Drosophila melanogaster: one gene and its partners. The protein of the gene in region 3 interacts with the protein of the main gene of each other region in a pairwise test. Each region holds a gene or a part of one and is shown on either strand. Other genes may lie near its edges.

Evidence for each region.
Region 1: the proteins of Ets97D (region 3) and CG14506 interact in a two-hybrid assay, tested with the Drosophila melanogaster proteins (one large-scale study listed by BioGRID).
Region 2: the proteins of Ets97D (region 3) and Atac3 interact in a two-hybrid assay, tested with the Drosophila melanogaster proteins (one large-scale study listed by BioGRID).
Region 4: the proteins of Ets97D (region 3) and sov interact in a two-hybrid assay, tested with the Drosophila melanogaster proteins (one large-scale study listed by BioGRID).

What each region holds. Positions count from the first base shown.
Region 1 is NT_033777.3:29,293,191-29,298,943, forward strand, and holds CG14506 (uncharacterized protein), read right to left. Parts: upstream 3,991-5,753; 5' UTR 3,905-3,990; coding exon 3,865-3,904; intron 3,804-3,864; coding exon 2,629-3,803; 3' UTR 1,971-2,628; intron 1,896-1,970; 3' UTR 553-1,895; downstream 1-552.
Region 2 is NT_037436.4:324,443-329,615, forward strand, and holds Atac3 (Ada2a-containing complex component 3), read right to left. Parts: upstream 3,551-5,173; 5' UTR 3,357-3,550; exon of another isoform or gene 3,236-3,356; 5' UTR 3,200-3,235; coding exon 3,104-3,199; intron 3,047-3,103; coding exon 2,693-3,046; intron 2,638-2,692; coding exon 2,425-2,637; intron 2,283-2,424; coding exon 2,262-2,282; intron 2,098-2,261; coding exon 1,980-2,097; intron 1,917-1,979; coding exon 1,591-1,916; intron 1,533-1,590; coding exon 1,438-1,532; intron 1,383-1,437; coding exon 1,313-1,382; intron 1,253-1,312; coding exon 794-1,252; 3' UTR 543-793; downstream 1-542. Other genes in the region: CG32344 (uncharacterized protein), read right to left, coding at 1-156, 211-213.
Region 3 is NT_033777.3:26,910,223-26,914,840, forward strand, and holds Ets97D (Ets at 97D), read right to left. Parts: upstream 2,665-4,618; 5' UTR 2,539-2,664; coding exon 2,475-2,538; intron 2,398-2,474; coding exon 2,283-2,397; intron 2,222-2,282; coding exon 2,152-2,221; intron 2,097-2,151; coding exon 1,382-2,096; intron 1,321-1,381; coding exon 890-1,320; coding exon of another isoform or gene 830-889; 3' UTR 553-829; downstream 1-552. Other genes in the region: T48 (transcript 48), read left to right, coding at 1-245.
Region 4 is NC_004354.4:6,754,400-6,759,373, forward strand, and holds the start of sov (small ovary), read left to right. Parts: upstream 1-1,922; 5' UTR 1,923-2,301; intron 2,302-4,210; exon of another isoform or gene 4,211-4,974. Other genes in the region: CG14439 (uncharacterized protein), read left to right, coding at 1-712, 773-1,044.

The DNA of each region.
Region 1 (5,753 bases), 2.4 Mb from region 3:
TTATATTTTCTTTGGCAATGATCTCAATAGCCTTGAGTTTATTTATTTATTTACTTTAAAAACTTATTATTCCGCTTTGATAACATGATAGTTGTTGTAACACAAAGTCATTCCTTTTCGTTTAAAAGGAAAGTGCTCTAAACTGCTGCGAAATGTGTGGAAACAATATAACTCTTGTTACAATTACTAGATTTATTTGTCCCGCTAAAAATAAAAAACCTATGATATTACATGCCTTTAACAAGGCACGTTTTTACTATGACTATGGCCATTCATTGGCCTAGACAAAGGCCATTTAAAAACCCATTTCATACAATTAATAACAATAAAATTACACTAAAATTGCAACAACACCGCACACCCCCAACAAGGCGGAAGACAAAGGACACAAAGGCCATTGTCGCAGGATCTGATCCACTTGCCACCGCCGCCGCTATTCAAAGTAACTCGTAACTTTGGTCGCTTCATTCACGAAACGCACTGTACTATATAGTCGGCCACTGGGACACACAATGGGCGTGGCCCTGCGCACTCGACTTCGAAATCCAGAGACACCGAGTTGCAGGAACACATTGCACGTGCGTGAGTGCAACAATTGTCCTGCAAACTGCAATTGTGTCATGTCCTGATCGCTATTCTATCCTGTTTGTCCTGCACTGTCCAGCTAGAGAAGTGTAATTTTCCATTTAAGATCAACGATGTGAAAATTTCCAAGACGTGATTTTTACGTCGTTTTTTCCTTAAAGCGTAGCCATTGAGCTATTGTTTGCGTAGTTCATTAGTTGCCAGGACTCGAGTTCATTTCGATGGACACGTATATGTCGGGAAAATGCCGCCAAAAACGGTAGGTCGGATTTTCCTGCCAAACTTTGCCGCCTCAGCTGCGGTTGAGTGTTTTTTTTTTCGTGTGCTTCTTGCGAGTTTGGTGCTTCGAACATTAAACTAATTTATCACCAATATATGCCAGGATCCTGGGCGCACGGGCTGGGATGGGCTGGGAAAGGACACCCCTTTCGGTGGGAATCGCTCGTGTGTTGGACTTTTGTGTCTACTTACCATAATGAAAACATTTTCAAACATTTTATGCAAAGTCCTGACATGACCTTTGCCGAACCTCAACGCGCCGCGTCTCCCGTTGCGCTCGATGTCCTGTCCCGAGTGTCCTGAATGGGAACTGCAACACACACATGCATGTATATCTCATCCCATCCCTTACCGGTTCGTAATTTGCGATCTGAACTAGTTTTCGGCGTGGCCCTGTCATTATGTAGATTTTTCAGCCCGCGAGTACACGATCGCCCCACAAAAATTGGAAGGGGAATTCGAATACTTAGTGGAAGACACCGATGTTGTTGCTGTTAGTCGGGATGTTCCATGTTCACCGGGTTTGTTTACGGGGGTCATCAGGACTGGGATTTGTTCTCACAGGAAATATATGTGTGCTAGACCATAAACCTTGAAAGCACAAAGAGAACCAGATAACGATCCAGTCCAAATGTATCCACCGGCAAATGGGAAAAGGCAACACAAAGCCGCAATTTGGCTGGTGAAAATCATCGAGGTCGATCCATTTGCAGGACCATATACCCATTTATATGTGCAGCTCTACTACATATCCGCCTCCGCCGCGATGAGTGACTGCCGGGTTTGACTGTCTAAGCCGCAGGTACGAAGTGATTAAACGCCGAGCTATTGCCACCGCAATTAGGATCGCATCGGGATCGGGATCGGGATGCCCGAGATCCCAATAAAAGCCAAATTGAATCGGGGTCGGCAACGGAATTGAGAGCGGGGGCAACTAGTGCAGGACCTGCAAGGATGCAGCTGATAATGGCAAAGAATTGCGTCGTCACAGGTTCACAGAGATGGCCGGCCAAAAAGGAAGACAAGTAGTGCTGGGGGGGGGAGAAGGTAGAACAATTTTTTTAACATCAAACGAATAAAGGTCGCTCTCGCACACTCGTATTTACTGTGGAAAAGGGAGCTCCTGATTTGTTGCAAGATTTCTTCGTAAATGGCATAAAAAACTGCTCGAGAAACAAGGCGACAAGCCGTGGGATCGCCGTGGCCGTGGCTGTGGATCGTTGTTAAGATTGTTAATGGCACCCGACCTGTTCACGTCCACGCTCACACAATGTTGGACAATTAACACGGCCCAGCAAGAAGAAAGCCAGGTTTTTGGAGGCACATCCTTGGGAATGTCGGGCAGAACAGAGGCCGCGCTACAGAAATCAAGGCCCCCTATTTCATCGCATTTATCGCATTCCCGCGCCCCCTCTAGGAATTGTTCATATTTTGTGTATCATTCGGTCAGGGGCAGTACCGTCATCAGCTGATCCAGGGGATTAATTATGTTGACAGGTTGCTGCGATTCAAGTGCCTTTGAATTGGAATTGGAACTTTTTGTGTAATATGTTCACGTTTCATTCAAGCAGCTCCATTCATATCTTCCAGGAATCTAAGTCACATCCTTCGGCTTCCCTCAATTTAGAAAGTGTCCGACTTATGTAATGTATGCCATTTCCTTATAATGAAAGTGTTCTTTGAAGTTTCTTGGGAAATATTGCTTAACTATTGTTATATTGAATGATATATGATATGATAGATATGATTTGCATTTGGTAATTCCTACTCTTTCTGTGCGTACATCTGATCCGCAAACATCGAAATGCTGGGTCGGTCTTTCATCTCGCTGAGCTGTAGGTCGACGTAGTTCTTGGTCCGCCGATAAGCTGCCACATTAGTGTAGCAGTGATGGACATAGTTCTGACCCAAACTGGCTAGAACGGCGTAGCGGAGATCTGACTTGGAAACTTTTCGAAGAACAGGTTTGGGCTTAGGCACTAGGGGAGTGATCGGCAGAAGGCTCGGCAAGGATGGGAGCACTGGACTAGAGGCAGGAGGTGGTGGAGGTATTTTAAAAATAACTTTTGGAACGGCTTTATCACTAGGAGTTTGTGGCAGGGATGGGAGCACTGGACTAGAGGCAGGAATTGGTGGAGCTATCTTAAGAGTAACTTTTGGAACGGCTTTATCACTAGGAGTTTGTGGCCACTTTGGAGCTGGTGGCTCGACAGACTTGTGGGGCACGGCAGCCAGTTTCTTCCGTATGCTCAGTAGGAGCTTTGCCGAACTGGAAAGACCCTTTTCCAGGGCCCTCACCTCGTCTGAACTGGGTTCGAATTTCAACAAGTTAAAGCTCCAGCGGGAGATTCCAATGTCATTGGTTAATGCATAGGCATAGTTTCGATCAGATTTTACGGCGGTAAATGGACTATAGGACGTGGGTTCTACCAGTTTTTGAAGAAGCAATGATCTGTTAATTGGTGGCTTCGAATTCTTCTCTAAAGATTTGTGACCACTTTGTTTGGCGTCGTTTTTCTCTGCCTGCCTTACAGGAGCTTTGTGTGGCTGCGTTATCGTTGCCTTTGGTTTTTTTATGGTCCCAGAGTTTTGCTGACTTCCCTTATTTGTACTTTTTTCTTTCGCCTTGCGACAGTTCAATCGGTATCCCTTGATCAGATGTGGATTCGATTCGATGGCATGCTCCATGTATGAAGTGCGACTAAACCGCACCATGGCGTAGTTAAAGTTACTCATGCCATTCCTCACGCTGACCCTCTCCAAATCCCCAAATTTGCTGAAATAGGTGAACACATCCCGATGGGTAATGTCCTGGTCTAGGTCGGGAATGAACATCAGGCGATCGTGTTCCGGCTCGGGAGGCCGTCGTTCGGGTGGCTGGACTACCACTGTGCCAGGTTGGTACGTTTTCACCTTCTCTTGTAGGGAATGGAAATTTGCTAGGATTGTGGATAATTCAAAGTCCGTGAGAAGCTTAAAGTCCCCGATAGCCGTTCTCACCTGCCTTTTCCCCATAGACACTAGCTGGTTCCCTGGGCATGGCTTCCCCCAGCTGGGATTCACTAATCCTTGCTCTTTTTGGCGAAGGACACGAATCAAGTCCAGGCAAGTCCAATGGCGTGTTGGTCACTCCCAGGGGTTCTAGGGAAATCAAGGAGCTCCATGAACTATCCATGCTTTTTAAAGCCAAGTTGAAATATACTTGGTTGATAGACAAACCCAAAGCCAACTCTGATCAATGACTATTTATTATAAGAGTGGTGAAGTGGGGAGTTTTCCCTTAAAAATTGCCATTCATAGAAATAAATTCCCTAATTTTTACGCAGAATCTAAAGTCTTTCCCCTGAGGTTTCCCCAAATCCTTAAAAGTCAAACCTACTCAAACCTTTCCCATTGCATAAATGAAAATTGCACTTTCAGTTCATCGAGGCCTGGGAAAATTTTTATCCGTTTCGCACAAGGAAATGATTTGCCAAACTGAGCACAAATATTTTCATCGGAAATTTCATAAATATTTTATGAAACTGTAGGATCAAAGTCAAAGCCCCATTTAAGGTCCCCAGAGTGGCTGCCGTGCCATGAATGAATATTCGTAACGGTCGGCATTCCGGCTGCGATTCATGAAACTGTTGCCACCAAATCGTGGCCAAATGAAAGGAACCAGTAGGCCAAAGGCAAAAACCCAGCTGGAATGCGTTGGCAGTTTGAATGTCGCCTCAGGTGACAAATTGCAAGGCTTGCACAGGTTGTTCAGGTTGCACATAGCCGGTGTAAAAAGGACGACGACTCAATGACGCGGCAGGTTTCGTCGAAAAAATGTGCCATTTCGCACCTCCATAAAAACGTGTCCCGAATGGGTTTCCCTGTCATTTGCCATCAATGGACTGGGCGGCCTTCGGTTTCGGTTGCATAATGTTTGACTGCTGGGCGGAAAGTTGCACATGGCTTCTAATGTGCGATTTGCATTCGCAATCGGTCAAGGGTGCACCGGATGCGATGAATGTTTACCCAACTCGCAGAAATCAGGGCGCGCATCCCTTTCACGAATCCATCTGCCAGTGCAGATCCTGCACATCCTTTGCCACCCAGGTTACGTAAGCCATAAACAAGTGGACCATGGCGGACTAATAGACTTGTTGCCAAGGCCGCAGAGATCGCCTCCTTCTCACGCCTCGACTGCATCCGGGATTCCAGCTAAAAACGCGGCAATATCCCTCAGATACTCGGATACTTTGTGCGGACGTGAACTTCAGCCGTTTAGCCATTCAGGCATTCATTGATTCATTCATGAACATTCGCCCGCAAACAATAAGGACACAACTAGCAAATCTCTCTCGAGCACTTCAACGAACAATGAGGAGCCCAAGCAAATTTCGGTACGAGGACATTCAGTGTTCTCACGTTCATTTCGGCGATTTCCTTCGTCTTTGGGTGTTTTTTCGGCTCTTTTTTAATGTTGGCTTAAACCTCAAGTGACCGAGGGTTTGATGATGATTATGATGAGCTCACAGAGAATTTGCGAAAAAAAAAAAAACTAAACGAGAGAGGAGAAAGGAAAGCGGATACTCAGCCACTCAACCGGGTGTCCCGGCATCCTCATCATCCGCCGATCATCCCGGATATAGTTCGATATTTTTTGCGAGTTTCATCATAACGAAATTCCCTGAAATGCCCCAAGAACACATAATAATCAGAAGATAATGCCGTTGATTATCTCGGGAATGTCTATTCATCGCCTGGCGCTGTGTCCTTCGAGTCCTGCCGCCTCGAATTTCCCTCGCCGTGTGCGGCCTGCCAAAAAGTGAGAATTTATGAGGTTTTCACCAGCGCAGCTCTGGTGGTGAGGGAGTTTCCCTAGAAGTTGCGATTGGAGCCGTGCGGCAACTGTG
Region 2 (5,173 bases), on a different chromosome or scaffold from region 3:
GCCCTTTATCAGCTCGAAGCCCAGGCCCATCGACTGGAATCCACCACTCTTGTTCTTCTTGGACTTGGACTTGAGAATGTCGGCGCCCCGGTCGCTGGTGCCGGCATCGTTGTCCAGTGATGGAAAGCCTGGTATTTCATCCGCCTGCTTCTTACGCTGCCAATGCAAAGTATGTATTGAAAGCTAAGCAACAAGAGACAATCCTCTTACCATATTTTTTTTGTTTTGAATAAAAACAACACGTGCAAAATCGATGACTATTCCACACTATCGATAACTCCATAAATTATCCAACACTGATTTCTTAAAAATTGACTAACGCTACAATATACCGCATTGTAATTGGCGCTTAGATTTTCATTTGATTAACTCGCGTTTTATTATTTTAATATTTACTATTTTGAGTAGACCATCTTTTAAATCGACCATATATACACTGCCGATTAAAATTAGAGGATAGCTTACATATGCCCAAAGGGAAAAAACCTCATAAGACCTCGACCAAACGGGAAAATAACAGATATAAAAGACTGGTGCGATTTAATAGCTATGTAAATGTATTAAATAAATGCTACATCTTGTGCAGATTATGGATTGAAAATGAATTTTTTAAACGATATATTTCTATCGACATCCGAATTGGTTTAAAGCTCTCATAGCATTCAAGTTATTAAGGTTTCGATAAGAAATGGTATGAAATCGTCATTAAACTGGGTGCTTTACAAATGCACTTATCGGCTGAATATCCTAAATATACCTTATCGAACTTACGCTAAACTTATCTTTGCATTAACTAAACGTCCTCTCCAAAATCCAAGTCCGCCTCCGACTCTTGAACCAGCACCATCTGCTCCAGGCGGTCAATGCGCCTCAGCATTTCCTCCTTTTCCCGCTGAAAGGAGTCGGCCCGCCGCCGCAGGTCTTCGTTTTGACGCCGCAACTCGTGAAGCTGGCGACAGATCTCAGAAGAAGTTAGCAGCGGCATCACGTTCGGAGATTTCGGCGACTGCTTCGTCGCATTGACGATTGTCTTGCCAGGTGCCGCCCCGTTGTTTACTGCGCCTTGGCCGGATCCTGCCGAGAGTGAAGGTCGCAGCTGTATCGTCTGGACGGTGCCCACTTGTCCCCTAAGCGAACTGCCCGACGCGGGATGGCCTGAAGGCAGTGGGGATGGGACCGCGGCTTCGTTCTGGCTGTGTGATTCTTCTAGCGCAGTGAGATCCTGCGGCCTTTGCAGGGAGGGGAGCTTTAACTAATTAAGCGGGGTTCAAGTAAAGTAAGGAGGTGAGCTCAGAAACTATTTAATATTCACCTGTCGAGCCTGCAACTGGCGCATGTTGACTAGCTTTGTGCCATCGGGAAGATGCCGCACCATTCCAGAGCTGTCGATAAGGCAAGATCTTATATATATCTCCCAAATATGTGAAATTAACGTACCTTGCCAATGAGGCGGGTATTTTCTGAAGGGACTTTGCCGTGCTGTCCGATCCGTAGAGTTTCTTAAAATCAGTCAACGAGATAATGCGTATATTCTGCCCTCAAATATTAATTATTATACGAATTAGCGAAACAAAACAATGAAATGCATACCTTGTTCTTGGCAACTCCCGCCGGTGACGGAAGATCCTTCTGCTTCAGGACATTCATCCGAATCTTGGGATGAGAATTATTAACATTTGTGCGGAGCGCTGCGACCGAAGGCCGGGCGTTTCCGTTCGTGGATTGCTTGCCGCTGATGCCCGATTTTGTTTCGTGCAGCAGCATGCGTCCTCCTTCAGAGAGGACAAGTTGGCGTCCATTCTGCAACGCAGTGTTCAGCATTTCTTTCGAGTCCTCGTCATCGTTGTCCTGCACCATGTCTGCGATTTCGTGCGTCTTTAGTATGTAAAGCGCAGTGTTCCGCAGGACGTTTGCATCTGGCAGGGAAAATAGGTTTTTCGTTAAATATTCGTTTAATATCTCCGAATCTAGTAACTTACGGCCTCGCATGTTTTCTAGGACATCCATTCGTTCTTCAACCGACATTTCTTTGTCGTCCACGGTTTTAATTACTTCCGGTTCGTCCATTATTGAGCTGACAGCTTCATTGGTTTCCTTCTGCAAATCGATGGGGAATAAATATGATATGATTTTTCTTTCTGCGAATCAATTGGGAATAAAGTATTTGTCACAATTTTTTAGGATCAGGAATGTAGGCCAAAGTTGGGAATGTTCTTGCTATTATTTGTGACAACCTAATACAAGTTGTCGAAAGTACATACTTTGGTCTTATGTGCTTGTTGCTGAAGTTTGATAAGCGCAGCGTGGGAAAAGGCAGCGATCAATTGTATTGTTAAGAATAAGGAACAGCCAAGCGAAACGTAAGTAAAACCTCATATTAAGTAGTAAATATGGCCTTCAGTGGATTTCTTCAAGCGCACTCACCTCCGATTCCTCGTGTAACTTCTTACTGGCCTGCGCCTGTCGTGCCGCTTCCAACTCCGCCAGCACATCCGCTTGTTCCGTGTACACGGCAAGTCCGATCGGCGTCTTGCCGAATTTGGAGACCAAGGTGACATCTGCCTGGCACTTGAGTAGCAGGCGCACAATTCCCTTGTGTTTTTTCTCGACCGCCCAGTGCAGCGGGGTCATGCGAAGCTGACAGGAATGTTGGTTAGTCATTTTAAACAGTCATTTATTTATATATTCTTACCATGTCGCGGGAGTTGACGCTGCACTTTAGCGCTAGCAGCAAGCTGACTATCCGCTCGTGACCGTAGTAGCAGGCTAGGTGGAGCGGCGTTCGGTCTACCTTGGTCTTGCCATCCATGTTAATGCCCCCCTGCAGGAGGATTTCGCAAATCTCCAGCTGATTGTTCATGGCGGCAAAGTGAAGTGCCGACATACCTAGCCAGTCGGAAGCGAAGGGAGCTCCATGCGCTAGCGCCGCCTTGACCCCAGCTACATCGCTGTCTCTGGCGCACTGGAGCAGCTGTTTGCCCAGGTCAACGCATGTGGCCGGACCCACCAGGATCCCCTTCTTTTGCTGGACATCCCCTTCGGTGCGCTATGAAGGAGTCGCCTCGGTTAGTGTGAATTACAAGCAAGGTACCGCGAGTCTTACGATCTCGTAGTGCATCAGGTTGGAGTTCTCCATGGGGTAGACGTGACCATCCGCTCGGAGAGTAGCAACGACTTTGCTGGCGCCGAGACTGTGCATTTTAGCAGAAGAACACTTTCAGGGACGAGTGAAGGCCTATAATTGGCATTACTTCAATAAGTTTATTAAGCAAAGGCTAAGAATGGCTTTAATTATGAATGTTTACGTTTTTAGATCTCTGCGGTGTGACCAGACATAGAAAAGGGCTTATACTCACCTATCAGATAAAATTGTTTTTGAAATAGCTTTCGTCATATAGCATCAATAGCATTAGTTTCTTCAATCGTCTAAAATCATGTTAAACTTAAATCATTTTCTGCGTTGCCGTTTTTTACATTTAAATTTAAATCACAGCTAAATCCTGTAAGACATTACTTGATCAAAGTAATAATACGAAGGATAAGGCAATCGAAGCTGAATTTATTGGTATATACCAAAAAGGAAGAATAGGTATCGATAATCTCTACATGACGAAAGTTTCTGATCGATATCAAGCACGGTCACACTTTATCTTATCGTTTTTACAGTTCGCGGTTTCGAGGTTTGCAACGCGCAATGAGCAAACTTAAACTAATTTTGTGACTCGGTAATCAAGTAAATGTGCAGCGGTCTAATTGAAATCAATGTTGCACGTGCAAATTACAGCTTGCGAGAGCAGCAATCATTTTTGTTCAGTTTTTTAAAGCTTACGAGGTATGAAAAGAAGAGGAAGTAACGGCAATGCCAGAAGCTTGTTGCTTTCTCCACTCCTCTTTCATCCTCGTCATGTGTGTGAGTGTGCAAGTGTATGTGTTTGCTAGGCTTAGAATTCCCAGTGAATATTGGGGAAATGTTAATTTAAAATGCAAAATATGTGATGGATAGCAAATGGATACGTACAAACAATAGTAAGTACATGTGTGTAGTCTTTCCGATTTTTTTCATTACTGGTGTTAAAAAGAAGAGACTAACAATATTCTTCATGCTCTTGAGCGGCCATTATATTCTAGGTGACCATTGTTGATCTAAAACAAAATAGAGAGCATAATTTTATGTTTCAATTTCTTTCTTCCGCCGCCATTGTATTCTGGGTTGATAAGGAAGATTTTAAGCAATTAAAATATATCTTCGTCTCTTTCTTCCACCGCCATTTTACTTTGCGGTGGTAAGGATGAAAGAATGAGATGCAAGCTTAAGATCTCTAAAGCAGCCATTTTTTTCTGCGGTGTGCTATTGGTCTTCCTCTTAAATTTAAAATTTATAAATTTCTTAAAAATATAGCAATATTGGCTACTATTTTTATCCATATTTCGCAAAGTTAAATGTAAACCGAAATTCGGATTTTTTGAAGTTTTTATAATCAACGAGATAGATTTGCAATCAAAATTTTTACCTTATCCTAATGAGAGGGATATATTTATTTTGCAGGGAAATTGCGTAAGAGTTCAAAGAGCTTAGTTCATAGGTGAGTACATCCACATAATTCTTATGAAAAATATAAAAATGGGCTGATTAAAATGATTGGTATTATGGAAATTATTATTGAAAAAATATGAAATTTACATTTTAAAAAGTGTTATTCGCGTTATTACTCAGTTTGTAAATAGCGGGCATCAATTGTGCATAGTTTGAAGGTAAGTTGCCCAATAAATGGCGCAAAGCTCGTAACCGCGAATTATATATGTATGTACATATACGATAAAAATAAAGTGTGGCCTTTGCTTGGATAAAAAAATCGTCCGAGTCGCCGGATATCCATATTATCGCTTTCAGAAAATTCGATATCATCGATAGGTGTTTCCCTTTCAAAAGTCTTCGTCCGATTTGGTCCGTTTGACTACTTTTATCTGGTGCATACCCGATTTGACTGCTTGGACGGAGTGGGATGTGTGAATGAACACTAAAACGCTTGAAACTTGAGAAATTAGGGAAGTAGACGGGTAGCGTCAGTTTGTTTGAGAAGATTAACAAGCCCACAAACTGCACAAAACTTGCAAGGCCATTTTATTATTTGTCTATCCATTTTCGATCGATATGGCAACAACATTTAAGCCA
Region 3 (4,618 bases):
GCGAACTGATGGCCGGCGATCGGAGCAGCAGTGCCTCGGCGCAGCAGAAGCTACACCTGTTTGGCTCGCTGATCAGCCTGCACGAGTTCGAGGAGCCGCGGGCTTCGGATCCTTTCGGCAGCAGTTTCAACACGCTGAAGAGCGGCAATCTCATCTCTGATCTCAACGCCAGCTCGCTGTGGCTGGAGGACGAGTTCTACAAGCTGGGCTTTCGACCGCAGGACGAGATCACCACGGAGCTGTAACCGCATCACAAAACTCATACTCAAAACTTAATGCAAACTAAGTATTACCCCGGCTGGCGGCGCTAGCCGTTCGAGTCTAGCGCCAGTTCAGCTGGGGGAATGGAGCATTTGCGTGCACATTCCGACAGGCCATCATCGACTTCGACAAGCTAACTGGGAGGCCGTTTAGCCGGAGCCGCTAAATGCCCACGCTTAGAGCTTAGTTAGATCAGTTAAGCAAGCAAACTAGTCACGTAAAATCACAAACAAAACCATCAACACACAACGATGCCGAGGAGAAGGAGCTAATGCAAATGCAAATGGAAATCGCGTGGAAATGAATTTAGTTTTATGGATTTTACAAAAATCGCAACAATCATGTAACGAACAATATTCAATATACACACTATAGAAATACTATTCAGATAATAACTAAGATGATTAGCAGTATAAACGCGATACTTATAGCTATAGCTTATGTAGACAGAGATTATAAACCTTAGCGAATACGAAATGGATAATAAAATCGTGTGCCTTAGGATTGTAAAATATGTAACAATTTGTATTATTAACCAGGCGCCGTCATCCGACCAAGTCAGCCAACGCTAAGGCTCCTCGTACTTCCAGAGTATGTCGGGTTCCTCCTTGAGCTTCAGCTCGCCATGTCACGTGTCTTCTGTAATTGTTTCCGTTGCGGCTACGCGCTCGGGCGCCGTTTTCCCCTCGCTGACCAGCGTGGATAGCTCATTCGCATCATAGCCGATCAATAGCTTCAAATCGCAGTCAAATTTGTATGCGAATCGCTTGCCGGACACCTTGGAGATCATATCCCCATCGTAATAGTAGCGGAGAGCCCTTGATAGCTTTTCGTAGTTCATAGCGGGTTTGTTTTTCTTCTCGCCCCAAAGGCGTGCCACTCGATCCGGGTCAGTGAGCTTAAATTCTCCCTCGGTGCCCACCCACTCAATAACGTCCGTGTGCTCGCAGTCGGTGAGTATTTCGAGTAGGAACTGCCATAGCTGCACTTGTCCATTATTCCCGGAACCGATGGTAGTGTAGTTTGATGGATTCATGGATGACGTAGTACTTTCAACGGCTGTGAACGAAGTAGATATTGTTAGCTCATGCTTTGGTGTAACATTCACACGTCTACTTACAATCAGAGCTCTTGACTGACTGATAGGATTTCCGCATAATCCGCTGTTCAAGCGAAAGGCTGCCCCCTGAATTGGTCGATATGGAATTGGCCGACATGATTCTTGGTTGCTTGGGCTTACGCTGCTCCTCCGCTCGTTTGTGCACTACGGACACGAAATTACATTCTTTTAGCAGCTGGAGGTGGGTCCAGAAGATGTTGCCTGGATCACGGGGCAGCTTCTGATTGAATTCCTCGTGCGTCATTGCGCAGAGTTCCTGGCCATTCATTTGCCAGTCGCTCATGTTGATGCCAACTAGTTCGAACTGCTTGACGGCCCACTCCAGCCAGTACGTCACGTGTGCGTGTGTCCATTCGTTGGCCGCCTCGGGTATCTTCAGGCGTATTTGTTCTCGCTTAAACTTGCTGTCCAGGACCCAATTCAAGACTGGCTTGACATCCTTGCCCTCGACGGATTCCTCTTCGGAGTCTTCCTTGTGCATGCGCTTGAGTGGGGTTTTGATGGGGCTTTCGCTGGAGGAACTCTTCTGGCTGGCCGTTTCCGGCGGCGAGAGCTGGCCCACCACCTCCTCGGCCAAGGCAGCCAGTGCGGCCTCCGTGGGCTTCAGGACGTCGGCGATGTTAATGCGCTTGCGAATAGTTTGTATCTGCACGTTGATCTGGACCAGGCCTTCTCCCTTGACGCATTGGTCCACGAGATTCTTGTGCGATTCCAGCTGCAGGAGAGTGGGGGCTTAGGTAAACATTTTATTACGCCGCAGATAGACTCACCTCCTGCGCGTCCTGCAGCCAAAACGTGTAGTAATTCAGGCACACTCCTATCTTTTGCTCAACAAGTGATCTGTGGGTAGAAATGAGGGTTATTTGCATGACTAATGGGGGCCAGTCTTCGCCAGACTCACTTGAGCATGCTGAGCGGCTCCCGGATGTCCATGTGCACGATGATGATGTCGTCCGGCTCCGCCTCCGTCTCCACATCGATGCTATCCTCGAACATTTCGCTGGCAATCACTTCTTCTGCAAATTGTTTACAATTAATAATTCGGTGTAACAACAGGTGCGTCCCAATTGGGAAATGGCATCATTCCACTTACCCAGGGCACCGCCAACGCTGAGGCGGCGTATTAGCTCGTCCGACAAGTCATTGCTGCTGTTCATCGCGGCTTAAAATCGCAAATAACTGCCTATATTAACAAAATGTTTTTAACAAATTTGTCTCGTGGATTTATTGTTGCATCTTCAGTGTGACCGTGTACGTCGGGTGTGGCAATACCGAATAATACTAAGTGGCGTTGGTACAGGGCTGCATAGTCACTGGCCAGTATTGCCACCAATTCTATCAGATTTCAAAACTCTGGCGGTTCTTTTAAAAGTGATAAAAGTTTCGAAAAAATGTAAATATGAATGTAAGTTAGCAAGTCTGAAATACAATATTTGCTTTAATGATGAAAAAACTTAATAGCATCATATATATTTAAAGAAAAACATCAATTGTTATTTAGTTTTAAAAGAATACATGATTTTGTTATAGTTTTTACTGGCAAATATTTTGCCAGTTTTGAACTATTTTCAAGTTCCCTTTTCCTGTGTGGAAATTCATTGATCAAAAATTTCTTTCATCACCAGCTATTAATATTTTGAGCCTAACGATCTATAAAAATTAGCAATCTGGTGACAAAATGTGTGCTCGCCCCCTCAAGTGATTTCCTAGAAATGCCATCGAAATTAATTGAGGAATTCAATTCGCAACAACAAGTCGATGCTTAAGACACCCACTTGTGGTTGAGTGGTTTGCTCTTCATGCGATATCTTTTCGCCACTTTCTTTCGCTGCAAGACTCAATTGGCCGACACAATTGGCCATGTTTGTGCGTCGGCCTGACTAGGAAGCACTTGGGTGTTCCCACAGGCAAGTGAAGTGGCCAAGTGCTGCTCATTTTCAGCTAATGCTGATTAAATGCCCCGTAACACGATCAGTGGGTCAAAACGGCGGGACAATGAATGCCAATTGTGCTATGGAGCAGAGGACAGCCTCAAGTGCACAGAGTACTTGTTAACACAAGCGTTTTTCCATGTACCATGTACCGAGATATGGACAAAGACGGCTCCCGGCCTGAATAGTCCGGAGTTGGGAGCATTACCTCATGCTGTTGACTCAGTTGGCATAGTAGATGAACGATATTTGCTTGCGAATATCTTGCTGATGACAATGTTTGATTTTGATTTCGGTATTAGCTATAAGTGATTCAATGTCTGCCACGAATGTTCTGGCACATCATCATCCCCATATTGTGCAACCTTGCAACTTCATTTTCCCCTTTCCGTTTCGTGTCCGAAAACGAGGGAAACTAACAAGCCAGAGTGCGGATTTTGTTTTATTTGGGGACTAACTCTGCTTTGTTTACTTGCCAAGCTGTTGACTAATATTAGCCAGCTGGTCAAATTCAGGCGCTTCAGGTCAGTTTTTTTTTTGGTTTCATTTTGCGTACTTTCCAGCCATTTGAAGTTGAGTCATTGTCAAAGTCGTCTCATTTGGATATTATTAGATGTGAGTGGTAGTGAAATTTCTATCTTTCTTTCTCACCACACAAACCCTTATTACTCATTATATGCTAATGAGGACTTATCTCATTGCACGTTAAGTATACGCCGCATTGACCTTCTGGCAGATAGAAATCTATGCAGACCGAAAATTGTCTAGGTCATGACACCCAGCTGCAATGGGGCAACAAACAGATGAACGAAACCAGCCCAATGACAACGTGGAAAACTCACTCAAAACCGTTAGCGTACATAAAACTATGCGCAGTCATTGTGGCGCCTTTGACTGCCAGAAATTCCCATATATTCGGCTGCCAAGAACCGTCGAAATAAAAACACAAAAAAAAAAAAACAAGAAAAATAAAGGAAAACAACCCCTTGGGGTTTTCGCCTCTGGATTATTTGTCCGCCGAGCGTTCAACTCCACGGAATTGCGTCACTGGATGGCTAGAATTAAATCAATAGGGACAACTCCCACGCTGAGCACCAAAGTGGAGCACCAGAGCCCGGGACTTGGAGAATTTGCATTTCCGTGGCCCATACTGAATGGCCAGTATTTGGGTCGTCTAAGGATTGCTATCGCTATCGCTATTGCTATTGCTGCAAGGACATTTCAAAGGCGGTCGGCGTTTTCGTTTCAGCTTTCTTGCTCTTCGTTTCATAATTTCTGGTTTTTAATTAATTGGTTTTTTTTTCGA
Region 4 (4,974 bases), on a different chromosome or scaffold from region 3:
TACATCACCAAGCTGAATTTCTGGAATCTGGGATGGCGCGTTTGCTACTTGGGCGCCGGTGTCCTTACCGTAATTATGGCCGCACTGACCGGAACCACTTTGCGGGAGCCGGAGCGCAAGGCCATCGGTGAGGGTGACCGCCAGACGTCTAGCGGCAAACCAGTGAGCCTGTGGCAAGTTATCAAGAATCCGGCAATGATCATGTTGATGATTGCCGCGTCCATCCGTCACTGCGGTGGCATGACCTTTGCCTACAACGCCGATCTCTACTACAACACGTACTTCCCCGACGTGGACTTGGGCTGGTGGCTCTTTGGGGTCACCATTGGCATTGGCAGCGTGGGTGTGGTCGTCGGTGGCATTGTGTCGGACAAGATTGTCGCCAAGATGGGCATTCGATCACGCGCCTTTGTATTGGCTGTTAGCCAGCTAATTGCCACACTACCAGCCTTCGGATCGGTCTACTTTGACCCGCTGTGGGCCATGATCACGCTGGGCCTGAGTTATTTCTTCGCCGAGATGTGGTTCGGTATTGTCTTTGCCATTGTTGTGGAGATTGTTCCGCTGCGCGTTCGCTCCTCGACCATTGGCGTCTTTCTGTTTGTGATGAACAACATTGGCGGCAACCTGCCCATCCTGGTGGATCCGGTGGCCAAGATCCTGGGCTATCGCGGTTCGATCATGATCTTCTACGCTGGATTCTACGGCATCAGTAAGTCGGCTTGATCTGGCCACTTTTGGATACCAATATTACTAACACCTCTGGTCACAGGTTCTATTCTCTTCTTCATCACCTGTTTCCTGCTGGAAGGCAAGCCTGATGAGGTGGGACAGCCGGAGTCGCCGAAGAGCCATCCGGATGCCGTGCTCAATGCTCGCCACATGCACGGACACGACAACTCCGTGTTCTCCGTGGACGAGACCTTGCCCTCCAACGGACGTCCTGCCCAACTTCCGCAGCATCTGCAGATGTCCAGCAATGGATACGACAAGTCCCAGATTTCTCCGCCACGACAAAATGGCGCGGAGAGCAGTAGACTATAGATTAGCTTAAGCTCCGGAGTGTTTTTTTTTTTTTATTAATTAATATTATGCAATTTTTATGTTAGGTTGTTAAGATACCTGCTTCAAATTCGGCTAACTGATAATTCGATATCTGCTTTACATCAGATATCAGTTCTTAACAAATATGCCCGAATCCGGAGCAGGTGTCCTTGCACCCAGCAATCATAGGCCTAAGCGATGGATCCCCGAGATTCCCGCAACACTGTATTTTTAGCGCGATAACTGTGTACTTAATTCGCCAGGCGATTACAAGTGTACAACTTTAATAAAGTGCTGTTTTGTTAACATAAATTGAGTTCGACACTCGCGACACTTTCAGCTAAATCAGAGGTGCTTTGAATTGTGAAATTGGCAGAAAAAGTTGAACAAAGGATAGTGCTGCCCTTATATTGAAGGAAAACAAAATTTGGATGCGGCTATAAAAAACCTTAGACCATATTCCTACACTGCCAAAAACCAAATAATAGCAGTTAAATACGAACCTTATATGCCACGCCAATCTCCCAGGTAAGACACCTCCGGATCCACCGGTTGAACCACAGACATATTAACACCCACATATCCTTCGCCACCCATCCATCTCCCTTTAAAACAGCTTTCATTTGTATATAAATAAATTTTTCACTTTCACTCTAAACCGAAATTCTATTTAAATCCTAATTATAAATATAAAAAAAATCAAGATGCTATCTTTAAAATTGTAATTAATACCAAAATTTCCGGCTTTTTACCCATAGTGCAACGTACCAGTTTCCTTCAGTATGACCATGTTGCATCTAAGCCAAAAAGTTTTGTTTGTCCATAACCATCGATAGCTATCGATAACTAACTTAATAAAATAGTTGCATGTATGACAACAACATCAAAGTACGTGGCTTAATTTCTTTCATTTCTATGCCTTATGGCCAGCTCCTTCGAGTAACATCTACAAAAAAATAAGAAAAATTTTCTCCCCGAAACGAAAAACCCTAGTTTTTCCCAACTTTCACTTACGACGAAAATCATCGCGGCGAATTGCAGACACGTAGCCTTGGCAGAGTGAGCATTTTGCTCTGCTATTCGTGTCTATCGTATTCGCCGGCAATTGCGCATTGTGAGACACGGGCATAGTTCCCTCACTTCGGCGTCAACTTTGGAAGTGTTCGGATCGGCTCGTATTTCGACACCTCCGCAGACAAGGCCAAATTGCTGAGCATCGCACAAAACTCCAGAAATAACGGAGGAAAGTAATCTAAAGTGAGTACAGTTGAATATTACTAATCAAGTGGTAGTTGTAATAACGGGAATGTGCATCAACGACGAAAACAAAAACGAATTGTAGAGGCCAGCAAAAAAGTCGTGCTCTTGTTTGTCTTTGTGTTCGTTTGAGTTTGCGTCTTATGTGGACGAGCTTTTGCGACTGTGTTTGTGTGTGTGTGTCTGCATAAGTGTTCCGCAGAACTTATCGTGTGAAGAATCCAACCGCCGTTTATATAAACATTCTTCCATAAATCATTTCTCGGACGAGAGCGGAAAGGACGTTTACAATCAATAATGGCGTATTGCGAGCTCTACTATGAAAAGTGGATTTAAGTTAATCGCGTAATGATAACTTCGTTTCTTTAAATGTTTATACACACATTACTAACGTTACTAACTTTTTTTTTTAAGTACTGTGGTGGAAGGAAACTCTTCTGACCTTATGTAGTACATAGGATTTTAACCATGACTATTATGTCCGTTTTTCTGTCCGTATGAACGACCTAAAAAGCTGAGATAGGAAACACATTCTAATGACGAAAACGCGACACAATGATTCGATACCAACGGTCAAGGTAGTGCCAAAGACAAGATGCGTAACGCTATACGATTTTTTGGCACACTATTTTTTCGCCATGGCTCTAGAGGTGGCTCCAGGCTCTCTCGATTTTTTGTTCGAGAGCGAGAGAGCGGAGAGCGCTACAGCAAACAGCTCTTTTCTACGCATACAGTGATAGTTATTATAGTGTGTTTGGTAGTGCGCACTAGCGCACTAAAGGCTGAATGCTACATTTGTGTCGCCAAAAACCGATGTTTCAAAAGTCCAAAATACAAAGTGACCCACTTTTTCTAAATCGTTGGAGGAGAGAATTCTGTAGTCAAATCCCCGACTATCAGATACCCGTTACTCAGCTAGTGTGAATGCGAACGCGAAATTTCATCATTTTTCTGGGATATCGAAAGATATTGGGGAATAAAATGAGAAAAAATTTTCCCAAAGTGACCGTATTGGCGGCTTTATGGCGTTAGAGTGGGCGTGGCCAAAAGTTGTTTGCCAAACCGATAGAAATTTACAAGTCTAATAAAATTATGAACAAATTTCGAAAAAAAGGTTCAAAAGCGTGGGCAATTTTTTGCGGTTTGTGGGCGTTAGAGTGGACGTGGCAACATGGGTCAACAAACTTGCGCTCCGTCCATGTCTCTGGAATCTGTATGTTGAATCTCAACCTACTAGCTTTTATAGTTTCTAAGATGTCGACGTTCATACGAACATACGGAAATGGCCAGATCACCTCAGCTATTAATCCTGATTAAGAATATATATATTTTATATAGTCGGAAAGGCTTCAATCTGCCTGTTACATACTTTTCAACGAATCTAGTACCCTTTTACTCTTCAAGTAACGGATATAATAAAGAAATAGAATAGCAAGGATGATCTGTATAATTTTTAGAACTTGTAAAAGGCAACGAGAGTTACTTTGTCACAAAATATGGATACCTTGCCACATACTTTATTTTTAGGAAAAAGAAAACTACTTGAGAGTATCAGATTTGGAAAATGAAAGGCACTTCTGACCTTTTTTTTTTAATAATATCTGTAAATGCACAAATAAATGCAGTGATTACTCACTATGTGCATAAAATACTTATTTAAATCAAGCTTAAAGTAAATGCTTATACGTTTTAAGCATAGCAAATGGACTTTGATAGCTGATAGATAAAAGAATCAAGCTAAGTTCCGTATTCTATCCACAAGAACACCGATTGGTTCATTCGTAAAGGAATGTAGTCGTTTTGCTGAAAAAATCCCATCGCTACTCGAGGGTTACCATTTGTTGTTGGTTTTGCGTGGACTGAGTACTTTGACCTTGTACTCTACCTACTACAATGAAACCACAAAAGTAAACATGGATATTTTATTCCTCAAATGAAAGAAATGATGATAGTGCTACAGTAATAGTTATCAAGGATAAGAACAACATGCTTCCGTCGTTGCGAACACATTTTCAGATTATGTACTAGACCTTCCTGTGCTCCAACCCTATTGATTTATATTAAAAATCAAGGTCATAATAAGGATCGCGATTGGCTTGGTTTATATCAGCTGGTGTATCAAGACTTAAATGGCACACAGTGTTTGGTATTCGCCGATCGACGAACCAGACCATGAGTCGTGTTAGAAGTATTGTTCGTAATACTGTGAAGTGGCGCCTACTAAATATGTTTTGTGTGTTGGAAGAGTTCAAACTGAAACGGTACATAAGTTTAATTATCCCATTATCCCATACAGATATATTGTGATAATGCGGGTTAAATATGATTAATGATCAACAATAATAGGGTTGGATGGTTTCAGTGTTGCTCTTCTAGGCGGTCTGTTCTGTACTCTCGATCAGCGCGTACTGCCACGTCGATTTAGAATTCTTGGCTTCCTTGGGCTTTTAGATATGCGCAAGAGTCGAGTCGCTGAAAGTTTAAATGTGTGTGTGTGTGCGTGTGGTCATCGTTTCGTAGAAAACTAGGTAGACGCTTCCCGTTTATATTATTATTGTGCTATCTGCTTCGTTCTGTAGGTACGGGATTTGTGGACGGCGTATGTATGGAATGTGCTTATGTCTCATGTTTGCTGTTTTATTTACGCTATCGATCGCAACGTCGAAAGATTGT